2 linked regions of the Struthio camelus genome follow. The protein of the gene in region 1 interacts with the protein of each later gene in a biochemical or structural test. Links are inferred from orthologs where the notes say so. Each region holds a gene or a part of one and is shown on either strand. Other genes may lie near its edges. The genes, in order: DGKZ and SNTB2.

Region 1 (8,057 bases):
GTTCCTGTTACACAGTGAATGGCTTCCCTGGCTCAGACCAGGGGTGAGGCCCTCCACTACACATAGGTAGAAAGAGCACACTGTCCCTCCCCGTTGCTAGCTCCCCGAGCCCCCCTATGCTTTCCCCAGCACCAGGCAGTAGCAGTGCTTTTGCAGTCTCTCCGCCAGGTGGCAGCACAGCCCGCATCCGTGGATCCTGCCAGGGGACTCGCGTGACCCCAGGTGACTTACCAGCAGCTTTGCCATACAGTTTTGCTCCCCAACATAGCAGAAATCCCCAGAGGCATTGGTCTCAAACCAGATGTGCTCCCCATAGACTGCAGTCTCCTGAAAGGCACAAGACAATGCTGTGTTTCTCTGAGAGCACCCATAAGTGATCATCTGATCTCCTAAAATGCTTTGTGCTAGGGACAAGACAACTTGATGTGGGGGTTGGGGGGGCTAGATGTAGGCAGGGAGACAAGATGCACAGAATCACCAGGGCAAACACCTGCAGAGAGGAAACCTTACAAAGCTGCTGCCACAGCCCACCCTGTTGGAAATGAGAGGCCCCCAGGAAACCAACTCTCCTCTCTCTCAGATCCTATGGAAAAACCTACAGCCTAGCTGTGTCCCATTCAGTGGGGCTGCCTCTATTCCCCCTGAGAAGAGGCACCTCGGCAAATTCAATGCTGGGGTCTCTCCTGAAACAGCCTCTGTTCCTTGACTTCAGGCAGGTTTTGACCTGCACCCTTCCTTTGCCTTTGCAGGAGGAGGGTTGGGGCGGAGGCTGGCACCCATATGCCAAGGAGAGCCCTGTGTCCCAGGGACTCCATTTGCCAGAAGACTTCCACTGCCAAGAGCAGAAGAACTGGAAGTTAAGTAGCTGTGCAACCTCCCAGGGAACTGCCTGTGCCCGCATAGCCTCTCTTCGCAGCATCAAGGGGTGCTGCCAGCAGCACAGATGCTGGCACCAGCGGAGGCCACAAATGTGTCAAAGCCAAAGTCACCTGGGAAGCCCTGGCCTGGGAAGAGCCTGCTGCTTCTTGTCTCAAAGCCCATCCTACCTCATGCCCAGCAAAATGCAAAGCAACTTACGCTCCAGTCCACAGTGCTGCGTATCTGCCTCTCTGAATCGCTCCTCAGGGCTAGCGCAGGGTTTGGCTGGGCTACCATGTGCTGGAGGCTGGATTTGGCAATAGCTTTTCTGGAAGACACGAGGGCTGCCTATTAGATCAGGAGAGGAGGAATGTGCGCAAAGAACAGCCTGCCTCTGGGATAGACAGTGATACTGGAGAAGAAAACCATCCTCAGAACCAAGCAGCTGGAAGTGCAGCGAATCCCCCAGGACCACTGCCTGAGGAACATCACCTCTCCGGCAAGTCAGTCCCTGTAGGGTGCAGAGGTGCTGGCCACATTGCTGACACTCACCAAAAGACATCCTACATCCGGCAAAAGACAGGCTAGACCTGCTGGGTCAAAACTCTCAGGGATGACAGGCCCACTGCATGACAGCCCAGGATACCCCACCAGCAGTCTCCACCAGGCTGTAGAGGTGGGGCTGCCTGTGCAAGGGCAGCCTTGAGCCCCTGCCCCAGTGCAGCTCCCCATAGCTTCCCACATATAAAGGCACCTCAGAGCCTGAGGCATTTTCAGAGTCCGGCACAACCGGCTAAAGCAAAGTAGCTTGTTTGGGACTAGGGAGCTGGTGAGCTTCCTTCGGGTAGGTTAGGGTGGAGGAAAGGACCAACAGGTCTAGTCAACTGGAGAAATTAGACAATACCCACCTCTAGCCCTAAAAGAGCCTTGGCCTCTTTTTTCACACCTGGGCTGGGAGAAGGCAAGGAATACAGAGGTACTTTGTACCGGCTGGAAGGGGACGTGTGGCAAGCCCCAAGGGGCTGCGGTGAGAGCATCAGACAAACAGAAAACTACCTCAGCCCTCAGTGACCTAAGGAGGAGACTGGCTCCTTGCTCTCCTCTACAGACACAAACAGCACTGCAAAGACATTGACAGCGGTGAGGCCTGGCACAGCCTTCTCCGACCCTGGCCACGTGGCACAAAAGGCCTCAGACCCAAGCCAAGCCCCTGCCCCTTCCTTCCTTCCCCATCCCCGGCCTGGCAAGCCTGGAGCCCCACATCCACCTCCCCTCTCTCAGATACTGCCTCGCTAACGTCACACGCCGCCATACATACAGCAGCCTGGGGCTCCAGGAGTCGGGGGCGGCAGGGCAGACGGGCTCCGATCCCAGGCACTCGGAGGGGGCAGCGGGAGGGCGCCTGGCTCCGGCTGCAGCCATCCACCTCCTGGGCAGCAGCCGCGCTCGGCCCGGGGAGATCAGCGCCCCGGGCCCCACGGCGTCACTCGAACGCCGGTGCTGGCTGAGGCGGCGGTAGCGCCCTTGCAGGCCGTAGGCAGCCCTGCCGTACACGAACTCGGTGGGCAGGAGATGGGAGGATCTGCGACGCAGGCACCGGGGGCCCCTCAGCAGCGGCCTGGCGTGGAGGGGCCGCAGCACGGGGAGCATGGAGAGCCAGGTCTCCTCAGCCCACCACCTGCGCCTGCCTGGCTCCGCTCCCCTGGCGGCCACGCTCTCCTCCCTGCCACCACCGTCCTCCAGCGACTCGGATCCGGAGCTGTCGGCACAGGGCACCCCTTTCCCCTCCTCTCTCATTTGGATAAGGCTGGCCAGGAGCATGGAAGGGCCCATCAAGTGGGTATCGATGGATCGCACCTGACCCCCGCGCTTCTTCTGCACGGCGAAGCGGGGGCTGAGGCATGGCGGTGTGGTGCTGGAGCGGCGCCGGGAGCCGGGGCTGGCCTGCTGGGGCCGGCCCAGGCAGGAGAGGGCCGGCAGCGGCGCGCCGGACCTGCACCGGCGCTGGACCAGCGAGGCTGAGGGCAGGCCCACTTGGGAGCGGCGCCTGGCTTTACCTGTGGGCACTGCCACCGCGCTGGCTCGCCGCGACCCCGAGGGCCCCTTCCTCTGGAAGTGCCTCTTAAAAAAGGTTTCCATAGCACAGAGGGTGGCACCTGAAGGGTGGCTGTTAACATAGAAACCAGCAATTAAAGAGCCTCCTGGCTAGGCTGCAAAGACCAAAGCAGTGACGGGCCAGGGGACGGCCCCGAGCTCACAGGGTGCAGCAGAAGAGAGGGCAGGAGGAAGGTGAAACAGCAGGAAACCCAGTTGCCAGACCTACGTGGTTGCTGCCGAGCTCTGCCTCTCCCTGCCTCAGCCCTCTCTACACAGGCAGAAAAGGAGGATGGGGAGAGGCGTGAAGGCCTTGTCTGGTGGCTCAGGGGGTAGCAACGAGCAAACAACTGGATGCTGGGATGCCTCCACCTAGAGCGAGCAACAAGACTGGGACCGGCCTCTGGTATACAACACACATTATTCACTGCTTAACGGCACTGCAGGAGCAGCTGGGCCACAAGGCACCCTCTCCTCTTGAGTTCAGAGCCAAATAAAGCTCTCCCTCTTATTAAGGCAGTTTCTAGGTTTATTTTCACAGCTTAGTGGAGGGTGCTGTGATGGCAGGGCAGGCATCACGTGCTGTTCCTAGTTCCCTCTAGATCCCCTGCTCATCACTGCAGGATCAACGTAGTCCTAACTCCTCTTTTGCACTGCACAGCTTCCATTTCCAATCTCTCAGCAATCTGTCCAGTCCTCTTCAGATTTCCTAGTCCCCAGCACTGTAAGGCACAGAAAAAGCTCAGCATTCAAATGTAGCCTCCTGTCAGCACTAGGATGATAGCTGGTTCCTGCAGCTACTTCTCTGCAGAGGGCTTTGGGTGGGAAGAAAAAAAAAAAACAGTGAATTTAGGAGGCTGGAGGTGTTAAAGGGATAATTTCTTGACTTGGAGCAGCTAAGAAGAGACTCCCTTTAAAAGGAACAAAGCCTTTCCTACAATCTCATGTGCTGAGCTGGATGGAACAAGGGCACGTGGCACTCGATGCCTTCGGTGAGGACAGCCAGGCTTACCCTGGAGAAGGTGCTCAGAAATACCCACTGGACTACTCGGATGTCTGCAGAGGCTGAGCTCCCCTCTAGACGACCCTGTGGAGAAGAGCCTCTGTACTGCTTGAAAAGATCAGCCCTTGCTCACGACCCCCAGTCACACGCATTCATCCCCTGGTGCTGGCCCTCCTGTTTTTCCAGTGGTAACCGCTCTGTGTAAGCACCAACCGCACAGAATTTGATGCAAATGAAAACAAAGGACTTACGAATTTGCAATAAAAGCAAGGCCAGTAAAAGAGGGGCAGGCAGATTTGGTAGAGGCTGGCAGAGGGAGCTGGAGTGGAGGTGGCCTAGGAAAATCGTCCTGTCCGTCCTGCTCAGAACTCCCCTCTCTCGGTGGGAAGAGCTTTAACATGACTCTCGAGCTTTCATTGCCCAGCTCTCAAAGCCTAACTCGTTGCCAGGACATTACAGCTGTTCGTGAAAAGCGCTGGGCCACAGATGGAAGTTGCTACAACACTGGTTTAAGCACTCTCAGCTTAGCATGCAAAGGTTTAAAAGGAAGAGACCGAAGCTGACTAATTCCAGTGCTCCTCTGCTCTAAGCAAAGTGCTTCTCCTCTGACCCCCCAGCCACTGCTTGTCTTCAACCTCTAAACAGAGAGGGTTTATCTGAGGACAACTCAAGAAACACTGACACTCACAGCTTGGTAGAATCTTTCTGGCGCCTCAAATGCTACAGAGCCAGGGGCCTCCAAATTAGGGCAGCCTGCAGGCACACGCAAGCCACCGTTGTCACTCCCAGCAACTTCTCCGTGCTGTAAAAGGCTGCTCCTCTACCCATCGTGAGCGTACAGGCACGTCACTCACCACTGCACTAAGATTAGCTGCGCTCACTTCTGTCTTCCTTTCTTCTCATGCTTTCTTATGCGGTCACTTGCTGGTCAGCAGTACTAAAGACCTTCAGAACAGCCTGGCCTAAACCTCAACAGCCCTGAGGGCCATGGGAACAGGCAGATTTGTCAGACAGATGCTTCCCTTTTTGCTTGGGAGACGCATTAAGATAGCACACGGGTGCTATTTTCTGGACCATAAACAGGCAGTTTTGTTTAGTGCTTGTATGCAAGCAACCCACTGGGCTGTACCTCTGCTTCTTTTAGAGAAGACTATAAAGCCAAGTTTGCATTTTGGAGAGGACAAGACATGGTTCATTCCCCTCCAGCCTGGTAGGCAAGGAAGTTAGCTCTGTAGTTTCTGTAGTCTCACTGCTATTCCCTGTGCTACTGTTGTATTCAGCAATGCAGCCTAGGGAGGGGAGAAAGTACAGCAATACTCTACAGAGGAATCTGCAGCTCGGACAGCAGCACTGGGGGAGCTAAAGTCTTGCTGAATTGAAAGCAAAACCAGAGTGCCATCTCCTCAGAGGAATTTCTCAAGTTCCACCACAGTGAGCGATGCAGATACGTCAAGCGCTAACTGATCACTAGCACATTTAACCATCGTACCGCCGAGGCCTGCGCAGCTTCGCAGATGGCATAAGCAAGTTCCGCTGATCACTCTGCTTCTAGCCCATCCTTGACCCTGCAATATGCTAGTCTTGTCCTTTCTCCCCACAATTTATAGGATACCTCAGTAAACTGGATTATCAACAATAGTCTTAAAAATTGTCTGAACAAATGGAACGGGTTAACAAACAACAGAGGACACTGCCTGGGAGTGGCAAACCGCAACAAGCTCTCTTTGATCATGTTTACTTGCTAGGGTAGATGTACTGCCAGGCTACATCCCGAATGAGTTGAATTGGTGCCCTCTTCTGCCCCAGATATTCCACCAACATTCAGGCTGATGTGCTGCTGGCCAAGCTGCTGCTATGGGCAGAAAGATCTTTCAACACGGCTTCCTTCCTTTTTGCACCACGGTCTCGTGAGGAAATTTGCCTCAACAACCTTTGCTTGACATTTATATTTTGGTTACTAGTTGATTAGAGTTTTTTTTTTTTTTTTTTTTTTAATCTTCAAGGTTGTCAGAGAGTGGCGCACACTCTCTTGTTCCAGTCACCAGTGGTGAAGGGTATTATCGGGAAATCATTTGACAGCCCATAATGGCACCATGCAGCAACTCAGATGGGGAAGTTCTTCACCATCCTATCTCTTGCATCTTACTTGCAACCTGAGCTGCCAAATGCTATACCGTGGGTGTTAAGAGCTGCTGCTGGCAGAGCACGGCGCCTGAAGGCAACGAGGCACGGACTGCCTAGGGCTGATGTGCACTGGCAGAGCCGTGAGCAGGGGAACCGTGCACTGCGGGGAAAGGAGCCTGACCAGAGCTAACTCTTGAAAGCTTCTGGCCCAACACTTGCACGTTTCTGGAATCTGCAGATTTCTCTTAAAAGACTATTTTCAGCTGTGAAGATGGATGAGAAGCAGTGCTTGTTACTGTTCTGCAGACTGCATCGCTCAGTTGAGTTAGGTAAGGAGGCTGGATGGAGGCAGTCTAACATTAGCAGGGTGGGAAGGAAAGGAAAGGAAAGGAAATAATGCTGCACACACTAGCATATCAACTCTACTTACAGGCAGCTTTACATTATCATTACAATCTGCTTCTGTGAATGAGGAAGGAGTCGGCAGCTTTGGTGTGCAAGTGGAGCTTTTGGGAGTTTTTTTTTTCTAACCTGACCCCTCAGTGCTCCTCAGCCTCAACCTCCTGCCTGTGCTCCCAGCCTAGCATCAGTGAGCAGAGATACCGCTGAAGCAGGAACACACCCCTGACCATGGACAGTCAGTGGCGCTGCCCCTGAGAGCTGAGGAGGGGCTGCAGGAAGCTGTCTGGGTGCTCAGAGAAGGCTGCAAGCTGTTACTCTCAGGATAGAGCTAATCTCAGTGGAAGGATCTAAATGCCCTGGAAAGTCAAACAGGGATCTAAGAAAAAAACCTTGCCTCTCATAACTTCAGTAGATGCAGAGCTGGTAGATCAGCTGATAAGGGGACCCTGCTCTCCAGAGAGCCACCCAAATATCCAGCACACATCCCTTCCATGGCGGTGGTAGTTCCAAAACCAGAAAAGCTGATTCCAAGGCCAGAACATGAACTTTCGTCCCTCAGGCACAGGCTTTGCCCGTGGTAGGGAGAGCTTCTTGGTATGCAGCTCCTGTAATTCTGCTTTGCTCCAATAGCCTCAAGCAAACCCCGGTGTACTGTACTGAACAAGCCCTCTGTGACCTTCTTATCTGTGTACATGGATGCTGTGCCACATGTCTGTTCAGTCCTTCCCCTTCATTATTATCCCTTCACCCCCCCTCCAGTGAACTGGTCTCTTCCTGAGAGGACCCAGAAGCAACAGAGATCCCAGGCTGCCTTTCCAGCCCCATCACTTCCATTCAGATACCACAGGTTGCCGTCAGTTAGTGTTTCCACCACAAGCTTGCACTACCGCTCTCAGTGCTCTGATACTCAAGTCTTTCCATGTATGCTGCTGTCCCCATACCACCTCTGCTGGAATCCTGTCCCAGCTCTCCCTTCCGGCTCCCAGGCATCAGCTACTGAACCCTGCTCCCCAGTCAGCCCTCTCCAATACACAAGGAAGAGCAACTCACATGGATTAGGTTTGCCAGGAAAGGTGTCCCTTTCTCAGAAGCATCAGCCACTAGTCCCTGTCACAGATGGTGAAGAGAGCATCTGGGTCAAGACATGCTATAGCCCTTGGGGCTTTGGTTGAGGTGAGCTGAGCTGAGCTGAGCAATTATCAGCAAGTTCCCAAACTCTGTGCAGTTTGTTTCTACCTAAAATTTACATCTAAGTTGTAATCTGTCCTACATCAGGCAAATAAAACAGGGACAGAAGCTGCCTGAGGGGGCAACTTCACGAGAACAAGGGCAAAAAGGTCTGAGAATAACCTGTTACTGAGTACAGCTACTACTTCCTTGGGGAACACCAGCTCTCATCTAACTGTGCAGAAGTCTCTCTAGCCAGCACTGATGCACACACACCTCTGAAGGAAGGGCAGAAGAGCAGCAGCCCTCCCCTGTGCTTTTGGTACAATGGTGGAAAGTCTGTGGGCTGCACAAGCCATCAAGAGCTTTCACAGCAGGGAATGCAACGCTTACCTCGTGTGCAGCAGCT
Region 2 (7,848 bases), on another chromosome or scaffold:
CACAGCGTCGCAGCCTCGGGCGCGGATCCGGACGCGGTGGCTACGGCACGGGCACGCAGCAGCCGACCCCCCCGCGCAAACCCTTCCTCTCACGGGCAGCCCGGCGGGCGCTCTCCGGAGACTCCCGTTTCAGCGCGCGCGGAGCACGGCCCCGCCGCACAGAGCGGCATCGCTGCACACGGAAACCCGACGCGAAGGCGCCGCGTTCACCTCTGCGCCGGCCGCAGCTTCTCTGGCCCAGCTTCCCCCAGACGCCAGGCAGCTAGTTTCGCTTCTTAGGCCTCCTCTCGAGAGGAGATGCAACAGCAAAGAGGGGCGGCAGGAGCCAAGCCCGTTGCAAAGGAAAGGGTCACCCCCTCCGCTAGCAGATAATTCACGCTGTCAGCAACTCTTAGCCACAAAATTGCACAATTAATAAAAACAGAAGACTCCAAGAATAGCCGTGGTGCGGGCATGGGAACAACTAACTGCAAGGAAAGCGTTCCCCCGAGGAGCCCGGGCCGTGCTTCACCTCCAGCAGGAGCCGGGTGCTCCGCAGCAGCGGGCGCAGCCGCACGGGGCAGCCGGCCGGCACGCTCCTTCCACCCCGCCTTGCTGGCTTCCCCGCGGCTGCGGGCCTCCGTTTTAAAGCCCGTGGGGTTGTCCCGCTTGGCGGCGGGCAGCCCAAGACCCCCCACCCGGGGTGACGTGATTCCCCTCGCCATGGGGAGCCCACCCGGGGGGGTGTCCTGCCCCTGTCCCCGGCTGGGGCAGGGATGCCGGGGCGGGAGAGGGCGTCCCCGTCCCCTGCTCTGGGCGAGGACACCGCCACCGGGGTGGGATGTCCGTGTCCCCGTCCCCACGGCGGGCAGGGACACCACTGGGAGCCGGCTGGGTCCCGGCACCGGGGACGACCCGTGGGCTGCCCGTGTGCCCGGTCACCGGGATGGGGGGCGTGCAGCACCCCGTAACGGGAGAGCGGATCCCGGGCGGTGTCAGGGACCCCGGTAATGGGACGAGGACACAAGGGGTATCCGGGAAGCTGGTAACAGCGAGGGGGCCGGGAGTCTGGTAGCTGGGACAGGGGAGGGGGCAGGATCCCGGTAACGGGAAAGGGGTAGGAGGGGGGATCCAGGAAGGGGGCAGGACCCCGGTAACGGGAAGGGGGTAGGAGGAGGGGATCCAGGAAGGGGGCAGGACCCCAGTAACGGGAAGGGGGTAGGAGGGGGGATCCAGGAAGGGGGCAGGACCCCAGTAATAGGAAGGGGGCAGGAGGGGGGGATCTGGGAAGGGGGCAGGACCCCAGTAACAGGAAGGGGGTAGGAGGGGGGATCCAGGAAGGGGGCAGGACCCCGGTAACGGGAAGGGGGCAGGAGGGGGGGATCCGGGAAGGGGACAGGAGGGGGGGATCCAGGAAGGGGGCAGGACCCCAGTAACGGGAAGGGGGCAGGAGGGGGGATCCGGGAAGGGGGCAGGACCCCGGTAACGGGAAGGGAAGCCCGGGACGTGCAGGACACCCGATAACCGGGACAGGGGAAGTGCAGGACCGGGGTGAGGGGACAGGGAAGCAGTGCAGGACCCCAGTAACGGGACGTGGCCTGGGGGGCTTGTGGGACACCCGGTAAGCCGGCCGGTAGAGAGGGAGGATCCCAGTAACGGGAAAGAGGGCAGGAGGGGGGGGATCCGGGGATGGGGCAGGACACCCGGTAACCGGGCAGGGGGAGGGGGCAGAATCCCAATAATGGGACCAAGAGGCAGGACACCCGGTAACGGGACAAGGGGGAGGGGGCAGGATCCCAGTAACGGGACAAGGGGGCAGGACACCCAGTAACCGGGCCGGGGGAAAGGGTAGGATCCCAGTAACGGGACAAGGGGGCAGGACACCCGGTAACCGGGCCGGGGGAAGGGGTAGGATCCCAGTAACGGGACAAGGCGGCAGGACACCCGGTAACGGGACAACGGGGGAGGGGGCAGGATCCTAGTAACAGGACAAGGGGGAGGGGGCACCCAGTAACCGGGCTGGGGGAAGGGGCAGGATCCCAGTAACGGGACAACGGGGCAGGACAGCCGGTAACGGGACAAGGGGGAGGGGCAGGATCCCGGTAACGGGACAAGGGGGCAGGACACCCGGTAACGGGACAAGGGGGCAGGACACCCGGTAACGGGACAAGGGGGCAGGACACCCGTAACCGGGACGGGGGAAGGGGCAGGATCCCGGTAACGGGACAAGGGGGCAGGACACCCGGTAACGGGACAAGGGGGCAGGACACCCGGTAACCGGGCCGGGGGAAGGGGCAGGACACCCGGTAACCGGGCCAGAGGAAGGGGCAGGATCCCGGTAACGGGACAAGGGGGCAGGACACCCGGTAACCGGGCCGGGACAAGGGGACAGGACACCCGGTAACGGGACAAGGGGGAGGGGGCACCCGGTAACCGGGCTGGGGGAAGGGGCAGGATCCCGGTAACGGGACAAGGGGGCAGGACACCCGGTAACGGGGCCGGGCCGGGCCAGGCCGGAGGGGCAGGACACCCGGTAACGGGGCCGGGCCGGGCCGGGCCGGAGGGGCAGGACACCCGGTAAGCGGCAGCGGGGGCCGCGACGCGGCGGTACCTTCGAGGACGACCTCCCTCCCGGCGCGCTTCAGCGCCTGCACGGCCTGGTCGTGGGTGGCGTCGCGGAGGTCGACGCCGTTGACGGCGAGGATGGCGTCGCCGAGGCGCAGGGCGCCGCACCGCTCCGCCGCCAGCCCCGGGAAGATGCGGGAGATGAGCACCGGCATGCGGTTCTCGCGGCCGCCCTTGATGCTGATGCCCAGCCCGCCCGCCTCCGCCTTCACCACCCGCACCCGCCGCACGCCCGCCGGCACCGCCGCCGCCGCCGCCTCCGCGCCGCCCCACTCGGCGCCGTTGGCCACGCCGTTCAGCGCCGCCGCCGCCGCCTCGCCGCCGCCGCCCGGCTCCGCCGTGAGGCTCAGCGCCTCGCCGCTCAGCTCCGCCGCCACCCGCACCCAGCGCTCCCGCAGCAGCAGCTCCAGCAGCCCCGCTTTGGAGGCGCGGGTCCACACGGCCATCCCGCCGCCGCCGCCGCCGCCGCCGCCCCGCGCGCTCCCCTCCCCCCCCACACCCCGGGGCGGCGCTCGGCGGCCCCGAGGCCACGCCCCCTCCTCCCGTCGCCCGCATGGCGGGCTCTGATAGGTCGCCCGCCGGCTCGGAGGGGCGGGGTTCGGCTCAGCCCCCCCCCCGCTCTGATTGGGTAAGGCGGAGGGACGGGGCGGGGAGGGGCGGTGGGGCCCCGCCCCCGCGCTCGCCTCAGGCCGCCGCCGCCGCCGCCGCGCTCCTCAGGGCGGGAGCCCGCGGGCGGGCCGCGCCCGAGCCGGCGCCGCCGTCCCCGAAGGGCCACACTGTCCCCAAAGGGCTACTGTCCCCAAAGGGCCACACTGTCCCCAAAGGGCCACACTGTCCCCCAAAAGGCCGGCACTACTGTCCCCAAAGGGTCACACTGTCCCCAAAGGGCCAGCACTACTGTCCCTGAAGGGCCACACTGTCCCCGAAGGGTCACACCATCCCCGAAGGGCCAGCACTACTGTCCCCAAAGGGCCACACTGTCCTCGAAGAGCCACACTGTCCCCCAAAGGGCCGGCACTACTGTCCCCAAAGGGCCACACTGTCCCCAAAGGGCCAGCACTACTGTCCCCAAAGGGTCACACTGTCCCCAAAGGGCCACACTGTCCCCCAAAGGGCCGGCACTACTGTCCCCAAAGGGCCACACCATCCTTGAAGAGCCACACTGTCCCCCAAAGGGCCGGCACTACTGTCCCCGAAGGGCCATGCCATCCCCAAAGGGCCAGCACTACTGTCCCTGAAGGGCTACGCCATCCCCGAAGAGTCACTGTCCCCAAAGGGCCACATTGTCCCCCAAGGGCCAGCACTACTGTCCCCAAAGGGGCCACGCCGTTTCTGAAGGGTCACACCATCCCCAAAGGGCCAGCGCCGCTGTCCCCGAAGGGCCATGCCATCCCTGAAGAGCCACACTGTCCCCAAAGGGTCACACCATCCCCAAAGGGCCAGCACTACCGTCCCCGAAGGGCCACGCCATCCCCAAAGGGCCACGCCATCCCCAAAGGGCCAGTGCCACTGTCCCCAAAGGGTCACATTGTCCCCAAAGGGCCACACCATCCCTCAAGGGCCAGCACTACTGTCCCCAAGGGGCCATGCTGTTTCTGAAGGGCCACACCATCCCCAAAGGGCCAGCGCTGCTGTCCCCGAAGGGCCACACTGTCCCCGAAGGGCCACATCATCCCCAAAGGGCCAGCGCCGCTGTCCCCGAAGGGCCATGCCATCCCTGAAGAGCCACACTGTCCCCAAAGGGCCAGCACTACTGCCCCTGAAGGGCCACGCCATCCCCAAAGGGCCAGTGCCACTGTCCCCAAAGGGTCACATTGTCCCCAAAGGGCCACACCATCCCTCAAGGGCCAGCACTACTGTCCCCAAGGGGCCATGCTGTTTCTGAAGGGCCACACCATCCCCAAAGGGCCAGCGCTGCTGTCCCCGAAGGGCCACACTGTCCCCGAAGGGCCACACCACCCCCAAAGGGCCAGCACTGCTGTCCCCAAAGGGCCACACCACCCCCGAAGGGCCAGCACCACTGTCCCCACAGGGCCACATCATCCCCAAAGGGCCAGCACCGCTGTCCCTCAAGGCCCACACTGTCCCCAAAAGGCCACACCATCCCCAAGGCCAGCACCACTGTCCCCACAACCACACTGTCCCCAGGGCCAGCACCACTGTCCCCAAAGGGCCACGCTGTCCTCAGCTCACACCGTGCCCAAAGGGCCAGGACTGCTGTCCCCAGGGCCACGCTGCCCCGGGCGCAGCCTGCCTTTCCGGCGGCAGGACAGCGGCACGGGGACACCACCAGCCGCCCAGGGCTGGAGCCCCGCGGCCACCCCGGCGCCACCTCGCAGGCCCCGAGGCCGGGGCGAGCTGCTGGCCTGTCCCCGCAGGAGGCAGCGGCTCGGCCGCCGAGACGCCGAGGAGAGGGCGGACGGAGCGCGCCAGCCCTACAGCTCTTCCTGCTTTAGCGAGCGAAGCCAGAGCATTAGGGGGAACTCCGCCAAAGAAATCCTCTCCCCCAGGAAAGCAACTTCCTTCTGCGGGCCAGCGTCCCTGCATCCTGCTCGCGCAACGGCCGATCAAGGAATTACTCGCGCGGGGAGCAAAGATTTCGCAGTCAGACGTTGAGTGGCTGCCGCAACGCACCGGCGCCGGCGAGCTCGGCAGGTTACCAGCACGGGGGCAACGCTCCCGTTACACAACACCCCTATCCCGTCACCTTCATTTACGCCCAGGGTTCGTCAAGCGCTTGGACAGCAGCGCGGCCAGCCTGCCCGCTCGGGGACCCCGGCCGCTGCTGCGCTCGGCTCCCGGGCGCCCGCCGCCCCAGGGCCCTGCCTTGCTGATAGGAGACCAGGGGAGGCCGCTTGGCAGCGTGCGGGGGGAAGATGCACGCGCGAGGGACAGTGGTCGCTGCAGAGTAGCTTCTGCAAGAGAATAAACATCATCCTGAGTCACCGTTTCATAAATCTTCTCTCCCCACAGAAGAGCTTTGCTCGCGTTTCTTTTTTTTTCTACGATACTGAACCGGCAGCTGTTTATTGCCCCCGTTTTTCGGAGCCTGTAGTTTCGCAAGGCTGCAGTGACCAGATCCTCCTCCCCGATCCGTCGGCAGTCCGGCCCCCAGGCTGCTTGCTGTCCAAGGACTGGCCTCGGCCACACGCAGGCAGCGGGGGCAGCCCGGTCAGCGCAAGCCTCGGGGGCGAGACGGACTGCAACGGTGCTTCGTGGGAGGCCTGTCAGCTGGAGGGGAATCTAGCTGGCCGGAATAGGAGACTTTGAAGGAGGGAAGGGAAACGACAGCGCAGCAGCACGGGGCTGGTACCCGTTCCTGAAACGGTAGGGCGAGCATCAGCCTTGTCACAGAGAGGGCAACTGGGCAGGACGGTGCACCCAAACACATACGGCTAAATACCCTTGGCTGCTTCCAGGCCGGGCTTTGCCTCCCTGCAGCAGGAGCTCGGCGTGGAGAACGTCAGCAGCAGCCCTCACTGCGCTCCCGTCCTCCTCCGGAGGCACCGCCAAGCCCCGAGCGCGGGGACAGCCGCCCGACACCGCCGCAGCCCCGGAGAGCCAGCTCTCCTCCCGCGGCTGCGCGTTGCCAGCTCCCCATGCCAAAAGCTTTCCAGCACCCTCCTCCCGATCGAGCCACCCAGATGGGGCGCTCTCCTCTCCTCTCCGCAGCAGGGGCTGGGAAGCAGGAGGGCCAAGCGATGAGGGGAGGTAGCGACAGCAGCGAGGAAAAGTTTGCAAAGCAAGAGCGTGTGCATTCACACCCCGGTCCTGGTGTCCCCTCCCAAGGCCAGGGGCAGGAGAGCTGCTCCACGCACCGGCACGTGGCAGCTCACCCACCGTCAGCCTGCGCCCACCAGCACTGCAAAAACGGCTGTGGCCATGCACGACTACAACGCTAACAAGCCGCTCGGCCCTGCCTCTCCCGTCCGACCCTCTCTCGAGGCAGAGCAGGAGCGCACTGCACAGGCGTCAGGACAGGGCACATGGGGACTGCCCGTCCCTGCCCTGCTGAGCAGGCACTCGGCACCCCTCTGTCCATCCGGAGCCCAGCTCACTAGGCTTCCCGCCTGGCGGGACACGTGAACGTGACTGCTGTTTGAGGGGATGGGAGCCCCCTCTGTCCCACGCAGAGCCACCAGCAGTCACGAAACCCATCTTGCAGCTGCCCGGGACAGCACCAGGAGAGAGAAACCAGCGCCGGGGCCTGACGTTTCCCAGAAGAGCAGCCACAGAGAAGGTAGAAGATCTGGGACGATGCCTAGCCCTCGCAGTCACCAGTCGCTGCCAATGAGCAACCCAGACAGCAGGACAGGCATGACCAGGGGAGTCCTACGAGACAAAGGTGTCCTTGGCTCCTGATTCAGACTCAGGCCAGAGCCAATCTGACCTGCTGCTGCTCAGACAGCAGGGAGCCCCACAGGGCAAGGATGATGCCTGAGCACGCAGCCCTACAGAACAACGGGGTTTATTACTACAACATCCTAGGAAAGTAACATACACAGTTTTTGTGGCTGGAGCAACTTGTTCTGCTCTTAGGTGCCAAATTTCTTCTGTTGGATGGGTGGTGGCAGCTGGGTCTTGATGTCCATGAGGGGCCGCTCCACCATCACAAGGCAGTTCTCATCCAGCAGATCCGCAAAGAGCAGGGGCTGCAGGGCAGGGAGGGGACAGGAGATGACAGCCCTGCCAGGGACAGGGCAATGTCTCTCCTTGCCCTGCCTCAGCTTGCTGGGTTCGACCACGTACGTGGAGCTGGCTGCAAGGCAGCTCTGGCTTAACCTTAACCAGGGACATCGCTTAAGGGACGTGCTCTGCAGAGAGCTGCTGGGGAAAAATCAGAGCCCGCGAGATGGACAGCAAGCGGCTGCACCGTGATGGGGACATAGAGACTCAGAGCTGCTGGGGCACTGAGAGCACATACGACACCAGCAGAGTTGAGGAACAGCTCAGGAAGGCTGCGCTCAGACCATGCCAGGACAGCAGGCATCTTGCTCCAGAAACAGCAAAGGAGGGAGCCTGTGGCAGGATCACCTCTGCACCTGTGGCTCCTTCCAGCTAGCGGGGCATCCTGACAGCATCGCAGCAGCCTCCTTGCTCCCCTGGGCAGACCACAGGTCCAGGGCACCCCCTTCCTCAACACCACCCCTCCTCAGAGACAGCACATGCACAGCAACACCCACCTGGAACTTCTTGCAGATCTTGAAAGCGTGGAGTTGTCTCTTCCTAGCTGTCTCTGGGAGC

The links.
Region 2: the proteins of DGKZ (region 1) and SNTB2 form a complex in vitro, tested with the Homo sapiens proteins (2 studies listed by BioGRID and IntAct, with this or other methods). The link is inferred for Struthio camelus from reciprocal best matches to the Homo sapiens genes DGKZ and SNTB2.

Annotation. Positions count from the first base shown.
Region 1 is NC_090946.1:40,031,592-40,039,648, forward strand, and holds the start of DGKZ (diacylglycerol kinase zeta), read right to left. Parts: upstream 3,122-8,057; 5' UTR 2,998-3,121; coding exon 2,177-2,997; intron 1,187-2,176; coding exon 1,078-1,186; intron 328-1,077; coding exon 232-327; intron 1-231. UniProt on the Homo sapiens protein: Diacylglycerol kinase that converts diacylglycerol/DAG into phosphatidic acid/phosphatidate/PA and regulates the respective levels of these two bioactive lipids.
Region 2 is NC_090951.1:1,656,771-1,664,618, forward strand, and holds the start of SNTB2 (beta-2-syntrophin), read right to left. Parts: upstream 3,072-7,848; 5' UTR 3,051-3,071; coding exon 2,591-3,050; intron 1-2,590. Other genes in the region: UTP4 (U3 small nucleolar RNA-associated protein 4 homolog), read right to left, coding at 7,140-7,256, 7,788-7,848. UniProt on the Homo sapiens protein: Adapter protein that binds to and probably organizes the subcellular localization of a variety of membrane proteins. May link various receptors to the actin cytoskeleton and the dystrophin glycoprotein complex.